Linked DNA regions of Caenorhabditis elegans. The protein of the gene in region 1 purifies or fractionates together with the protein of each later gene. This does not show direct contact. Each region holds a gene or a part of one and is shown on either strand. Other genes may lie near its edges.

Evidence for each region. The genes of interacting proteins can lie anywhere in the genome.
Region 2: the proteins of dohh-1 (region 1) and dhps-1 fractionate together in Caenorhabditis elegans (co-fractionation; one large-scale study listed by BioGRID). This does not show direct contact.

The regions. Positions count from the first base shown.
Region 1 is NC_003280.10:10,577,858-10,583,002, forward strand, and holds dohh-1 (Deoxyhypusine hydroxylase), read left to right. Parts: upstream 1-2,097; 5' UTR 2,098-2,120; coding exon 2,121-2,188; intron 2,189-2,233; coding exon 2,234-2,619; intron 2,620-2,668; coding exon 2,669-3,111; 3' UTR 3,112-3,188; downstream 3,189-5,145. Other genes in the region: rpb-6 (putative DNA-directed RNA polymerases I, II, and III subunit RPABC2), read left to right, coding at 1,523-1,936; dap-3 (Small ribosomal subunit protein mS29), read left to right, coding at 3,277-3,486, 3,538-4,272, 4,318-4,414, 4,464-4,549; mrps-22 (Mitochondrial Ribosomal Protein, Small), read left to right, coding at 4,773-4,855, 4,909-5,086.
Region 2 is NC_003280.10:11,990,111-11,999,597, forward strand, and holds dhps-1 (Deoxyhypusine synthase), read left to right. Parts: upstream 1-2,890; 5' UTR 2,891-2,904; coding exon 2,905-3,117; intron 3,118-3,694; coding exon 3,695-3,844; intron 3,845-4,985; coding exon 4,986-5,367; intron 5,368-6,988; coding exon 6,989-7,117; intron 7,118-7,550; coding exon 7,551-7,792; 3' UTR 7,793-7,900; downstream 7,901-9,487. Other genes in the region: Y17G7B.3 (hydroxyacylglutathione hydrolase), read left to right, coding at 65-235, 1,253-1,726; Y17G7B.23 (DUF281 domain-containing protein), read left to right, coding at 9,150-9,274, 9,344-9,487. UniProt on the Caenorhabditis elegans protein: Catalyzes the NAD-dependent oxidative cleavage of spermidine and the subsequent transfer of the butylamine moiety of spermidine to the epsilon-amino group of a critical lysine residue of the eIF-5A precursor protein to form the intermediate deoxyhypusine residue.

The sequences.
Region 1 (5,145 bases):
GATGTGAACGCTGTACTGATAGAACAACGAGTCCTGGTGCATCTCGATTCCGAATACGTTGGTTTGTATTTCGGCCTCAACGCCACATTTTCCTGGTTCAGTCGGTGCTGGATACAGCTTTGCAGCTGGAGCGATCTGAAATTTAACAAATTAGAAGGTTATGAAACCGATTAAACGTACATTGAGCTCTTCCAGTCTCTTGATGCAAGCGTCGTTAGACGTCTGATACTCCGATCTTAGCGGTTGAGTTGGAACTGGAACTGGTGGAACGGCAGGTGGTGCGTGGACGCTCGATGGAGCTCCAGAAGGCGTGTAGACTGATGGAAGGGCTGGCATCTTTCGATTTTGTCCTGTAAATTGATAATTAAAAGTAGTGTAGGAAGTATAGAAAAAAATGCGTTGATATATCAAGGAGGTGCGACATTAATATTTGAAACAAAAATATAAAAATAACACACAAAACGAGCATCGAAAACGACAAATTCCGCGAAAAAGGGGAAAAGAAAATACGAAATTGAAAATCGCGGTAATGTTTCGTATCGGTATAGGTTCAAAAGTGGTAGAATTACATAATTTATTACTAATAAATCCGTTGAATGATAAAAATGATAAAGCTCATATATTTAACATGCGACCTGCCGGTCCGAGAGTAAAACGAAGAAGTGACGATTTCCTTGCGCGGTGTCGACGTGTTGGGGTTTGATGTGCATGTGTGGTAGTACTGTAACACTCGTGACGTGTGTGTCTTTTGGCGCGGCTTTCAAACAGGAGTTTCCCGGCTTTGTCGTTGTTGATGACTTCCGTGGATTGTCGTGAGCATTTAGAATACGGAAAGACTTCGTAATAATCATAATAATTCTTTAATATTTCCTTGACGCATTTCCTGGGTATTAATATCATTTCTTAAGTCGTGATCGGCGGAATATCAGTATTCTGCGTATTCGCGACACTCCCGGCCCCTTCAAAAATGGCTTATTATCAGCTCGTGATACTAAGCAAGACCCGACCATTTCCGTTACCATTTTACTTCTTCATTTCTGTGTTCATTTGCTTTTGAACCCCTTACTATAAAAAGTCGTGATAGGATGAATATGTATATTCTCCTTCTTCGCGACAGGTAATCCTAAAATTCTGGGTTACTGTAGGTGACTTTCGCTGTGAGACCTTCACTAGAATTCAAATTGCCTCTCACAACGACGTTCCACCGTTACGCCTTGCGTCTTGTTTAACGTAAATCCACCTGAACAATTTCGTAGAACCAATTTTCTTTCTTTTGCTTTTTTGCTTTTCCTGAATGGAATAAATTGAAAATATCTTTAAAAGTTTTAATATTTAACAAATTGATAATTTTTCACTGTTACAATAATCTAATGTTGAATCATCCGTGTAGAAATATCTTTAGGCCTGGTTCTGTATTGATTTTCCTATTTATATTTGTATCACTCTTGTATTTCATTTGATTATCGGTTTTTTCTTATAAATGTTAAGAAATAACTAGTAAATTCAATTTTGCAGACTCAGAATGGCCGATGAGGACGATTATCAAGATATGGATAATGATGATTTCGTTGACGACAACGAAATGGAGGACGTGATCGAAGAAGATCCACAACGCCCTGACAATGAGGACGAGGACGATGACAACGTGGACGAGAATTTCGAGCTTTTCGATCAAGGAAAGGCTGTTCCGACTAGTGAGCATGTGACAACTCCATTCATGACAAAATACGAACGAGCTCGAGTTCTTGGCACTCGCGCTCTCCAAATCGCCATGGGAGCTCCGGTTATGGTTGAACTTGAAGGAGAGACCGATCCATTGGAGATTGCTCGCAAGGAGCTTAAACAACGCCGTATCCCGATCATTGTCCGCCGCTACCTTCCAGATGGATCATACGAAGACTGGCCAACCGATCAACTTCAACTCGCTGATTGGTAGAGAAATGTTTCTCTAATTTTTCCTCATTTTAACTGTTTCACCTTTTTTGCTCTCCTCATTTCTGATCTTACACTCTCATTTTTATTTTGTTCCGTTCGTATTATTCTCTTTCTCTCTCCTTGTTGACAATGTTATTTGAAAATTAATGAATAAAATTTTAGATTCAACTCGAACAACGGGAAAGATGGTCGCTTCGCAAAAGTTCTCTGATGCCGAAATCGACAGCTTTGGAGAGGCATTAAACGACACAAAGTAATCTTGTAGATTTTTTTCCAATTAATAAATGAAAATTTTCAGGAAACCTCTGAAAGCTCGTTTCCGAGCTCTATTTATTCTCCGGAATATTGGATGTGATCGTTCTGTTGACTGGATTGGAAAATGTCTGAATGACGAATCAGCACTTCTGAAGCATGAGTTGGCTTACTGCTTGGGTCAAATGCAGAACAAGCACGCCATTCCAACACTTGTGAGTGTTCTTGAGGACGAGAAGCAAGAGCCAATGGTCCGCCATGAAGCCGGTGAAGCGTTGGGAGCAATTGCTGATCCTTCAGTCAAAGATGTCCTCCGAAAATATGCACAAGATCCGTGTCCAGAAGTTTCCGAGACATGCCAAATTGCATTAGGAAGGGTGGAATGGGTTGAAAAAAGTGGAAAGGATACCAACAGCCCTTATGATAGCGTTGGTAAGCGATTCAATTAAACATATTTTGCTTATAAAAGTTTAATTTGTAGATCCAACACCATCAGCTTCAACATCCGACGTCGAAGAGCTCGCAGCCACTCTGATCGACGCTTCACTTCCACTTTTCGACAGATATCGTGCGATGTTCAGTCTAAGAAACATTAAGACAGATAAATCCATCAAAGCTCTTGCTCAAGGTCTCTACTGTGAAGATAGTGCTTTGTTCCGTCACGAAGTCGCATACGTTTTAGGACAACTTCAGTCGCCTGTTGCCACTCAAGAATTGAAGGATCGTCTTCTACTGTCAACTGAAAATTGCATGGTCCGTCACGAATGTGCTGAAGCTCTTGGAGCAATTGCCAACGAAGAATGTACGGAGATTTTGAAGCAATACGTCAATGATGAGGAGCGTGTTGTTCGAGAAAGCTGCGAAGTTGCCTTGGATATGGCTGAATATGAAAACAGTGATGATCTACAATACGCTCACGTTTAATAATTTTTTGTTGATTTCCTCCTGTTCTTGTTCATTGTTTTGTTTTCCAGTTTTAATTAAAAATTTCACCTAGTTTGTGATCCAGTTTCTAATTCAATTTACGTTTTGTCGAAATTTATCTACTTTTACCAGATTTCTCCCGGAACTTCAGACAAGTTTTACAGAATGAAGCCGTGTGGAAACCTAATGTGCCAGATCGCTCGCCGACTTCCGGCTCGCCAGCTGCATATTTCGAGACGATCCAATTCCCAGTTAGCAGATGTTGGAACTCTTTCCGAAATTGAGATGCCAGTTGCCAAACAGCTTAATATGAGAAATCATCTGCCAGCTCCACTTTCTAAACAGATGGATACGTTGGGAGAAGTTGTTACCTTGGTTAGTCGGCGATAATCAATGGAATATTATATTCAATAAATATATTTTCAGATCCGAGAACCAATGGCAGAAGTAGCAAGCTGTATGCGAGTTGTGGATAAAAGTCTTCCAGCTCTTCGCCTCGTGTTATGGGGAGCTTTCGGAACCGGAAAGTCGGTTACTCTCAATCAAGCTGTTCATCATGCTTATAATAATAAATGGGCAATTGTTCATCTAAGAAGTGCAATGGAGCTGACAAGAAGAGTAAAAGAAATTGAGATGTCATCTTTTGTACAAGGCCGTATCAATGATCCATCGAATTCTGTTTCTATTCTCCAAAATTTCAAGCAACAAAACCAACATATCTGGAAGATTCTCGGAGAGTTGCTCACTGAAAGAGATTATGAATGGTCGAAAAGTGAACGAACGTTGAAAGGAAAACCTATCACTGAAATTATTGAAATGGGAATCTCTGCTCCGTTCCTTGCCAGTGATTGTGTTGGTGCAATCTTCCGAGAGCTCCGACGCCACGCAAAAGATGACAAACTGAAGGTTCTAGTGGCGATTGATGATGCGAATTCTCTGTGGGGAAAAACTTTGGTGAAACGAGCTGATAGAACCTATGCACCACCTTCGGATCTTACTCTTGTTGTACATTACCGGCGAATGATCGAAAATGATTGGACTAATGGATGTGTTCTGATGGTTGCAGATAAGAAAGAGGTTGCAGACGCCAGGGATCATCTCGGAGTCTCCAGGCACACTCCATTGGAATTGTTTGGAGAAGAAGGATTTGAATATGTTGAGGTAAAATTGAAAGCATATATATTATCTTGAAAACTAATTTTTCAGCCATTCGTTCCAATTGAAACGTCAAATTATACGGAAGCCGAAACAGATGCAATCTATAATTACTATGTGAACAAGAACTGGTTAGCATCAAAAGCAGGTGAGAGACCGCCAATCCCATTATATTGCAATTTCCAAATTGTTTGCAGCTCGTAGCGAGGAAGGAAGGAAACAACTTATGCATCTCAGCGCATTCAATCCATATTATTACGAGAGGCTTTGTGCGTTCAACTGATTTAAATCATTATAATTTACGTTTTTTGTTGAGTGTTTCTGTTTTTTTTTAATTTTTAGGTCTCTAGTTTTATTTGTTATGAATAGAGAATGAAAAATAATGTTTTTATTATACAACTGGCCATTGTTTTTGTTGTTCGTTGTTCCTGTTCTGATCGGGATTTCATATTTATTCTCTGTATCTTATTCTATTTTTATTCATCAATTTCCAGATCCAGATCTCCATGCTCCAGCTGAAACCTCGAGTTTCGGCATTAACCCGGCTTTCAGCCGAGGTTCGATCTGCATCGCAATGGATCAAAGCAAGGTATTTGAATTTTAAATTTTGTAAAATATATATTTAATATGATTCATTTTCAGTAACTCTAAAACACCAGACGACATCAATGTTGAGAAACTCTTCGTTGAGAAGGAAGTGCAAAAGCTACTGACGGATTTAACAGAAATTGATTTGGAGCACAAAGTGTTCAGACCGCGAAGAACTTCGATTCAACAAAGATCTCATTTCGCTCTTATGACTGAAGAACGACTTGAAAAGGTTTGTTTGAAAATGATTTATAATTTACCGCATTTGTCGATTTACAGTCGAGTTTCTGA
Region 2 (9,487 bases), 1.4 Mb from region 1:
CATTTTAAACAGTTTTTATTCGCCATAAAAATTTTGTCAATAATTAATTTGTTTTCTCCTACAGATCGATATAACAGCAGTACTAACCACCCATCACCACTATGATCATTGTGGTGGAAATGAAGGATTTCGTCGTCAATTCCCGAATGTCATGATTCTCGGTGGAGATTCAAGGATTCCGGCAATGGATCGGCACGTGAAGCATGGTGATATGGCAGAGTTCGCTGGGCTTCAGGTTATTTTTTTGAAATTTGATTTTTGAAAAAAAAATTAAATTTTTTTTGTTCCAAAATTTTAATATTGGTTTTTTTAGAAGACCTAGCATGAAATTTTAATTTTTTGAAATAATAAAAAAACTTGGGGTTTCCAGAAGTTGCTGAAAATTTTTTGAAAATTCAACCCTTTTTCTACAAAAAAAAAATCGATTTTTTGTTGGTATAATAAAAAAATTGGAATTTTTTATTCAAAAAATTTATTAGCAGTTTTCAGCAAAAAAAACGGAAAAAATTGCAGATTTTAACTTTTTTCTAAAAAATCGCTGCAGTTTTTCTTAAATTCCAGTTTAAAAAAAAACCTTATCTTCTTGAATTTCTGAATATTTTCTCGTGAAAAAATGTTTTAAAATCAGATATTTTCAACAAAAATCAAAAATTGCGGTTTTTTTCAAAAATTGTTTTACAAAAATGACACAATGATTGAAATTGTGCAAATTTTATTGCAATTAATTATTGCAATTTTTTTTAATATTCAAAAAAATTTCTTAAATAAATTCAAAAGAAAATTCCAAATTCCAAAAAAAATTCTTTAAAAAAACCAACAAAATAAATTCTTTTAAAATCTAACAAAAAAATCCTTTGAAAATTATTAAAAATCCAAAAAAAAAACCCTAAATAATTTCAAAAAAATATTCCAAAACAGAAAAAAGGTGTATTTTTAAAATTATTTAAAAATCCAAAAAAACTCCAAAACAAGTCCCAAAAAATCCTCGAAAAAATTTTTTAAAAAATCCAAAAAAAAATCCTTTAAAAAGTATTTAAAAATCCAAAAAAATTATTTCAAAAAATCCGAAAAAAATTTTGAAAAGTATTAAAAAATCCGAAAAATCCTCAAAAAATTCTTGCAAAATCAAACAAAAAAAATCCAAAATTAAAAAAAAAATCGAACAAAAAAAAATCCAAAAAAATCCGAAAAAAAACCTTTAAAAAGTATTTAAAAATCCTTTTTTTCTCTAATAAATTCCTAAAATTTCCAGATAAAATGTCTATCCACTCCATGTCACACATCCGGTCACATCTGCTACCACATCACAAATCCTGCCGCAGATTCCACTTCCCCTGGAGTCGTTTTCACCGGTGACACCCTATTCATCGCCGGTTGTGGGCGGTTCTTCGAGGGCACGGCACCACAAATGGACGTGGCACTCAACGAAATTCTCAAAAATCTTCCAGTCGAGACCCAAATATTTCCGGGACACGAGTACACTGTCGCCAACCTGAAATTCGCGTGCCACGTGGAACCTGGCAACGAGAAAGCTGCTCAGAAGCTCGAGTGGGCTCAACGACAAATTGAGCAGGGTGGATTTACGGTTCCGAGTACTGTAGCTGAGGAAAAAGCAACGAATCCATTTATGAGGGTACGGGAATCTGAGGAAATTCAAAAATCGATTGGGACATGCGATGCGGTCGTGGGAATGGCCAAATTGAGAGAAATGAAGAATAAATTCTAATTTTTTTTTTGGTTTTTTAATATAATTTTCTTGAAAATTTAAGCTTTTTTCATTGTAAAATTATCTAAATTTTGGAAAAAAAATTAAAAAAAAAAACAAGAAAAAGTGTTTTTTAAAAGAAATTTTGTAATTTGTATTTATGGAAAAAATTAGCAAAAGAATTTTTTTCAGAATTTTTTTTTTCGAAATTTCAATGAACATTTGAGGAATTTTACTATTTTTTAATTCAGAAAATGTACAAAATTGGAAAAAAAAACTGAAATTTGATTAAAAATCATCTGAATTCGATCGAATTTAAAAAAAAATCCGAAATTAAATAATTAATTCAAAAAATACTCTATTCGTTTTAAATTTTTCTAAATTAAAAAATGACAATTTTTTGAAATCAAAAAATTATTTTGTTTTAATTTAGAAAAAATATCTTAATTTCGAATAAAAAACTTTCTTTTTGGTTTTTGGAAAGTTCCACAATCTGGGAGAATTTTTAGAATTAATTACAGATTTTTTGAAAAAAAAAAGAATTTAAATGATTTTCAATGAAATTTTAATTATGGAAACGAACAAAATTCTAAAATTACGAAAGTAAAATTTCCAAAAAAGCGAAATTTTTCAAAAAATTGGCATTTTTCGGAATTTTTGTTTTCGGAAAAACTTCCACAATTTAAATTTTAAACGAATTGAGAATTTTTGAATTAATTACGGATTTTTTTTGAGAAATTTTACAAAAATCGAATTTCGATGATTTTTATTTTTTTCAAACAAATTTTGGTTTTTTTTTGTTGTGAACTTTCTTTATAAAATCGAACCAAAAAAAAGTTGTTTTTTTTTTCGAAAAAAAAATTCTGAATTTTTTCTAAACTACGAAATCTAAATTGCTAAAAAAAATTGTATAAAAATCGGCATTTTTATTGTAAATTGATTTGATTTTATGTGATTTCATTCCGGTTTTAATTTCTATTTTCCTGCTAAAATGTCTATAAATTTATGCTTATTCATTTTTTTCCGATTTTTTTTGGTACAAATTTTGTTAATTCAGTTTTCAATCATATTTTATTTGATTTATTGTATTTTTTTTTTTGGATTTTTTCAAAAAATTTTAATATTTTGTCTAATTTTACACCTAACTAATAGTAAATTCAGTAAAAACCCGCCTCAATTTTTCAGAAACTTGCTCCAAAATGAGCACCAACGAAGCAGCAGCATCTCAGGAGGATATAGCACTTGCTCAGGGAGCAGTTCTCGTGAAATCATGTCAAGTACCGGATGGTTCAATTCCGATTCGCGGATTCGATTTCAGCACGGCTTCTGGTCCGGATTTCTCGCTTTCCGCCATTCTTTCGTCTTATATGAGCACAGGATTTCAGGCAACACATTTGGCTCAGGCTATTCAGGTAGCCAGTTGCAAAAAATTCAGATTTAATTTGGAAATCAGAAGGAAAATTGAAAATTTCGAAAAAAAAATTTAATTCGAAAATTCCCGGTTTTTTAATGATTTTCTGAGAATGTCAGACTTATTGATTTTTTTTGAATCGAAAAAAAATTTTATTAAAAAAAAAAAAAATTCTGGGAAAGTTGAAATTAAATTATATTTAAACATAAAATAATGTAAAAAAGAAAAAATTAGAAAAAAATCATAAAAAAATGTATTTCGAAAATGCTTTTTTACATTTTTTAGGCGGAAATTTTCCTTTTTTTTATGATTTTCTGAGAAAGTCGACCTTTTTTATTTTTTTTTCTCAAATTCCAAATAAAAATTTTTTAAACTTATAGTTAAATTTTTAAAAAATTTTGAAAAAATCGCAAAAATTTTTATTTTTAATTTTTGAAATAGTCGGACTTATAGATTTTTTAAAATAAAATTCTGGAAGAATTTTAACTTCAAAAAATAATTTTTTTTACAAAAAATTTGGAAAAATAGCAGCAAAAAATTGTTTTACTCAATAAATTCCGAATTTTCCCAATTTTCAGCAAGTAAATCAAATGCTCTCCCTCCGTGATACTCCGTTGACTTGTGACGACGACGAGAAGCTTTTCCCATATCCAGAAGGTCGGCAAAAGAGATCATGTACTATTTTCCTCGGATACACGTCGAATTTGGTGACCAGTGGGCTTCGTGAGGTCCGTAAATCTACAAAAGATCTACACAAAAGTTGAAATTCCTCGTAATTCTACACGAAAACTATGTTTACCGTAAATCTACCCAAAATTGATCTTTGTAAATCTACACGAAAACTGAATTTCCCCGTAAATCTACACGTGAAAAATTAGTGCTTCCCGCAATTCTACGAAAAAACAATTAAAATTCCCCGTAAATCTACACAAAAATTGAAAGTCCTCGTAAATCTACACCTGAAACACTAGTGCTTCATGTAAATCTACCAACAAATTAGATTTACATGAAGTAAATCTACAACAAAAATCAAAGTTTCTCGTAAATCTACACCTTAAAAAGCTATGGTTACCGTAATTCTACACATAACTGATTCTTCTTGTAAATCTACACATCAACTCTAAAAATGACCCAAATCTACACTAAAATGTCCCCGTAAATCCACACCAATCCCCGTAAATCTACACAAGAAAAAATATATTTTTCCGTAAATCTACACAAAACTGAATCTCCCCGTAAATCTACACAAAATTGATCCTCGTAAATCTACACAAAATTGAATTTCTCCGTAAATCTACATAAAAACGGAATTTCCTGGTTAATCTACACAGAAATTCAAATTCCCCGTAAATCTAAATAAAATTTGTATTCGTCGTAAATCTACATCTAAAAAATCCTGCTTCTCGTAAATCTACAAAAAAAAACACAATTTCCCTGTAAATCTACACAAAAATTAATACTTCTCGTAAATCTACACAGGAAAATAAATACTCAGCTTTCTCGTCAATCTACCCACAAAAACTATGCTCACCGTAATTCTACACAGAACTGATTCTCCTTGTAAATCTACACATCAATTCTAAAATTGGCCCAGAAGCCTAAATCCATTAAGAAATATTGTAAATCTACACTAAAATGCCCCCGTAAATCCACACCAAACCGTCTCTAAAAAAATTTTTAAATTCAAATTCAATGTGCTGTTATTTCTCGTAAATTTACACAAGAACATATACTTCCGTAAATCTACACCGAAATTAGCGTCTCGTAAATCTACACAAAACCTGAAATTTCCCCGTAAATCTACATAAAGGTACCGTAAATTCACTCTAAATTCGTAAATCCACCCAAATGAAAAATTAAAAATTCCAGGTACTCCGCTATTGTGTCCAACGTAACCTAGTCGACTGTATCGTAACATCAGCGGGAGGCATCGAAGAGGATCTCATCAAATGTCTCAAACCTTCCTACCTCGGTACATTCACAATGGACGGTGCAAAACTTCGATCGAATGGAATGAATCGAGCCGGCAATGTGCTCATTCCGAATGATAATTATTGTGCATTTGAGGATTGGCTTATGCCAATTCTTGATGAATGTCTTGTTGAACAAGAGGAAAAGCATCTCAATTGGACACCGTCAAAGCTTATTCAACGGCTTGGTGAACGGATTGGTGATGAATCGTCGATACTGTATTGGGCGGCCAAGCATCGGATTCCCGTATTTTGTCCGGCGCTTACTGATGGGTCATTGGGTAGGGGATTTTGAATTTGGATTTTGAAAAATAAATCGAATTTTGGAGAAAAAATTCGAAAAAACTTTGAAAATAGATTTTTTTTAATTTATCAATTTTGCAAAAAAAAATATTCAAAGATTTTGAAAAATTGGAAAAAAAATTGAATTTTTTGAAAGAATTTGTTGGCAAATTTGCCGGAATTTTTCATTTTCGGCAATTTGCCGGTTTGCCGGAATTTTTCATTTTCGGCAAATTGCCGATTTGCCGGAAATTGTCAATTCCGCCAATTTGCCGGTTTGCCGATTTGCCGGAAATGTTCAATTCCGGCAATTTGCCAAATTTTCCGAAATTTTTCAATTCCGGCAATATGTCGATTGCCGGAATTTTTTATTTTCGGCAAATTGCCGATTTTCCTGAAATATTTAATTCCGACAATTTGCCGGTTTGCCTATTGCCGGAAATTTTCATTTTCGGCAAATTAGCGTTTTGCCGGAAATATTAAATTCCGCCAATTTGTCGGTTGGCCTATTTCCGGAAATTTTCATTTTCGGCAAATTGCCGATTTGCCGGAAATTGTCAATTCCGCCAATTTGCCGGTTTGCCGATTTGCCGGAAATGTTCAATTCCGGCAATTTGCCAAATTTTCCGAAATTTTTCAATTCCGGCAATATGTCGATTGCCGGAATTTTTTATTTTCGGCAAATTGCCGATTTTCCTGAAATATTTAATTCCGACAATTTGCCGGTTTGCCTATTGCCGGAAATTTTCATTTTCGGCAAATTAGCGTTTTGCCGGAAATATTAAATTCCGCCAATTTGTCGGTTGGCCTATTTCCGGAAATTTTCATTTTCGGTAAATTGCCGATTTGCCGGAAATTTTCAATTCCGCCAATTTGCCGGTTTGCCGATTTGCCGGAAATGTTCAATTCCGGCAATTTGCCAAATTTTCCAAAATTTTTCAATTCCGGCAATATGTCGATTGCCGGAATTTTTCATTTTCGGCAAATTGCCGATTTTCCTGAAATATTTAATTCCGACAATTTGCCGGTTTGCCTATTGCCGGAAATTTTCATTTTCGGCAAATTAGCGTTTTGCCGGAAATATTAAATTCCGCCAATTTGCCGGAAATATTAAATTCCGCCAATTTGTCGGTTGGCCTATTTCCGGAATTTTTCATTTTCGGCAAATTGCCGATTTGCCGGAAATGTTCAATTCCGGCAATTTGCCAAATTTTCCAAAATTTTTCAATTCCGGCAATATGTCGATTGCCGTAATTTTTCATTTTCGGCAAATTGCCGATTTTCCTGAAATATTTAATTCCGACAATTTGCCGGTTTGCCTATTGCCGGAAATTTTCATTTTCGGCAAATTAGCGATTTGCTGGAAATATTAAATTCCGCCAATTTGCCGGAAATTTTAAATTCCGGCAAAATGCCGATTTGCCCATTTGCCGGAAAAAATTTTTTTTCGGCAAATTGCCGTTTTGCCGATTTGCCGAAAATGTTTAAAGGGATTTTTTATAAGAGAGCATCGAAAAAAAAAATTGCATTATTTTTAAACAAAATTTGCAAAAAATTGTTAAAGTTTTTGAAATTTGAAAAAAAAATTCAAAAAATTTTTATTTTAGTCAATTTTTTCAGGTGACATGTTGTACTTCCATTCGGTGAAAAGCTCACCTGGGCTTCGTGTGGATATTGTAGAGGACGTTCGACATATTAATACAATTGCTGTCAAAAGTTTCAAGACTGGATCAATTATTTTAGGAGGAGGTCCGAAATTAAAAAAAATATGTGAAAAACCCTGTTTTAGAAATTTTAAATTAATTTTTTCTCAAAAATTTTATGAATTTTCCAACATTTTTTTTGCAGTTTTCTGAAGATTGAAAAATTATTGAAAAAAATTGAGAAAAAAATTAAACTTTGAATTTTGAATTTGAAAATACCATAGTAATGAAAGCAATTTTCCAAATTTATTGTTAAATTTAATTTTCATACACTTTTTTCTAGTTTTTTCCAAAATAAAAAAATTTCTCGAAAATTTTAACGTAAAATTTCTTTGAAAAAAAGCTGAGTATGTAAAAAAAAATTTGGACTTTAAACAAAAAGAATTTAAACTAATTTTTTAAAATCAAATTCACAAAATTTGAAAAAAATGCTTTCCAGAATTTTTCCCCATTTTTGTCAAAAAATCCTACAATTCCAGGAGTCGTAAAACACCACATCAACAACGCGAATCTCATGAGAAACGGCGCAGATCATACCGTCTACATCAACACCGGCCAAGAATTCGATGGCTCCGATTCTGGAGCTCAACCCGACGAGGCAGTGAGCTGGGGGAAGGTTAAGCCGTCGGCTGGAGCTGTGAAGGTTCATGCTGAGGCGACACTTGTATTCCCACTTTTGGTTGCTGAAACTTTTGCAAAACATGAAGGACACAAGGATTAGGAATTTTTGCCAAATTTTCCCCCAATTTTTAAAACTATTTTTTCATTGTTACCTGTTTTGTTGACTTTTTCACTTGTTTGTTATTTTCTTAATACAGATTCTTTAATATTACTTTTTTTTAATTTACGAATGATTTGCGGGACAAGAAAACAATTAAAATATTTCGAAAAATCGAATTTTTGAAGATTTTTTCAAAGAACTTCAAAAAAATTCCTCAATTTTTTCTGAAAAGTTCAAAAAAAAATTAGCTGTTCAAAAAATTGTAACAAATCCGGCAATTTGCTTGCCGGTTTGCCGATTTGCCGGAAATTTTTAATTCCGGCAAATTGCCCGTTTGCCAGAATTGTTTAGAGGGATTTTTTATAAGGAAACACTTAAAACTGTGTCTTTATGAATTTTTTTCCCGTTTTTTCTACATATTTTCATAGAATTTGCTTACTTTTCAAAATAGATGTAGGAACATTCATAGGATGCGCTTAATTTTGTCATTTGAAATTGATATTCTGAAATTTCCAAAAACATAAGTGCGAAACTACAATTTGCCGAAAATTTTCGGTAAACTCCAGTTTTCCGGCAAATTCGGCACATCGGCAATTTGCCGGTTTGCCGATTTGCCGGTTTGCCGATTGGCCGGAAAAAATCGTTTTCCATCCACTGTACTGTAGCGCTTGTGTCGATTTACGGGCATCATTTATTAATCGATGAAACATCGAAAGAAAACACAAAAAAGGACAAAACAGTACGAAAAAACTAAAGAAAATTCGAAAACCGAACCCGTAAATCGACACCAGCGCTACAGTAGTCCTTCATGAAATTACTGTAGTTTTCGCTATGAGATATTTTTAGATTTAGAGATATGTTAGGCGATATGCTTTCTCAGGATTTTTGTCTTCTCGTAATATATGTTTTTTTCCTAATTTTTTTGCAACAATGATTAAAAAATTAAAAAAAAAAACCAAATCCAATTCTATAACAGTATTTTCCTGTTCTTATTTGTATAATTGACTCACTGCACATAATACACTAAAACTCATGACTCTTCTCAAAACTGACATTCTCTGAAAACTATTTGCCTATACGGTCGTAAATTCTTGTTTTTTTTCTGAGAATTTTTCAGACTTTTCCAGAATTTCAGAACCCCTTTTATGACTTTTTGAGTCACTTTAATAGACAAACAAACATTTTTCGTATAAAAGAAGTGCTCCGAGTGCTCAATTGTCCCGGCTCGTTCAATTGGAATTTTGTCCTTTTTCTTGTTATTCTTTTTATGTTTATTTAATCTAAATATAAATATTTTTTCAGATAAAAAGGCATAATGATGTCATTGAAAATTCAAATTTTTTTGTTAACATTTATGATGTGGATTTTGGGAGTCCGGGCGCAGGACAAAGATTGCATCCAGTGTGCAACATCAAACTTAATGGAAGATTGGGGAGCAACAGGACTTCCGCTGAAACCGGCGAATCTCCTGTTTGATGACAAGTGCGTTTTCATGTTATAATCATACACCTAGCGGCATAACTTAAATGCAACCAGACACCCTTATTTCAGATGCGGTACGCCGAATAGTTTAGTGAGTACTGTTTCTGGCAACTGTGCATCGATGTGCTTCGAACTCATGATTCCGGTGAACAATAAGCTCGCGTTTGTACGAGGGTGTCACGCTGATTTTGTATGGGACGAGTTCGCGTCACA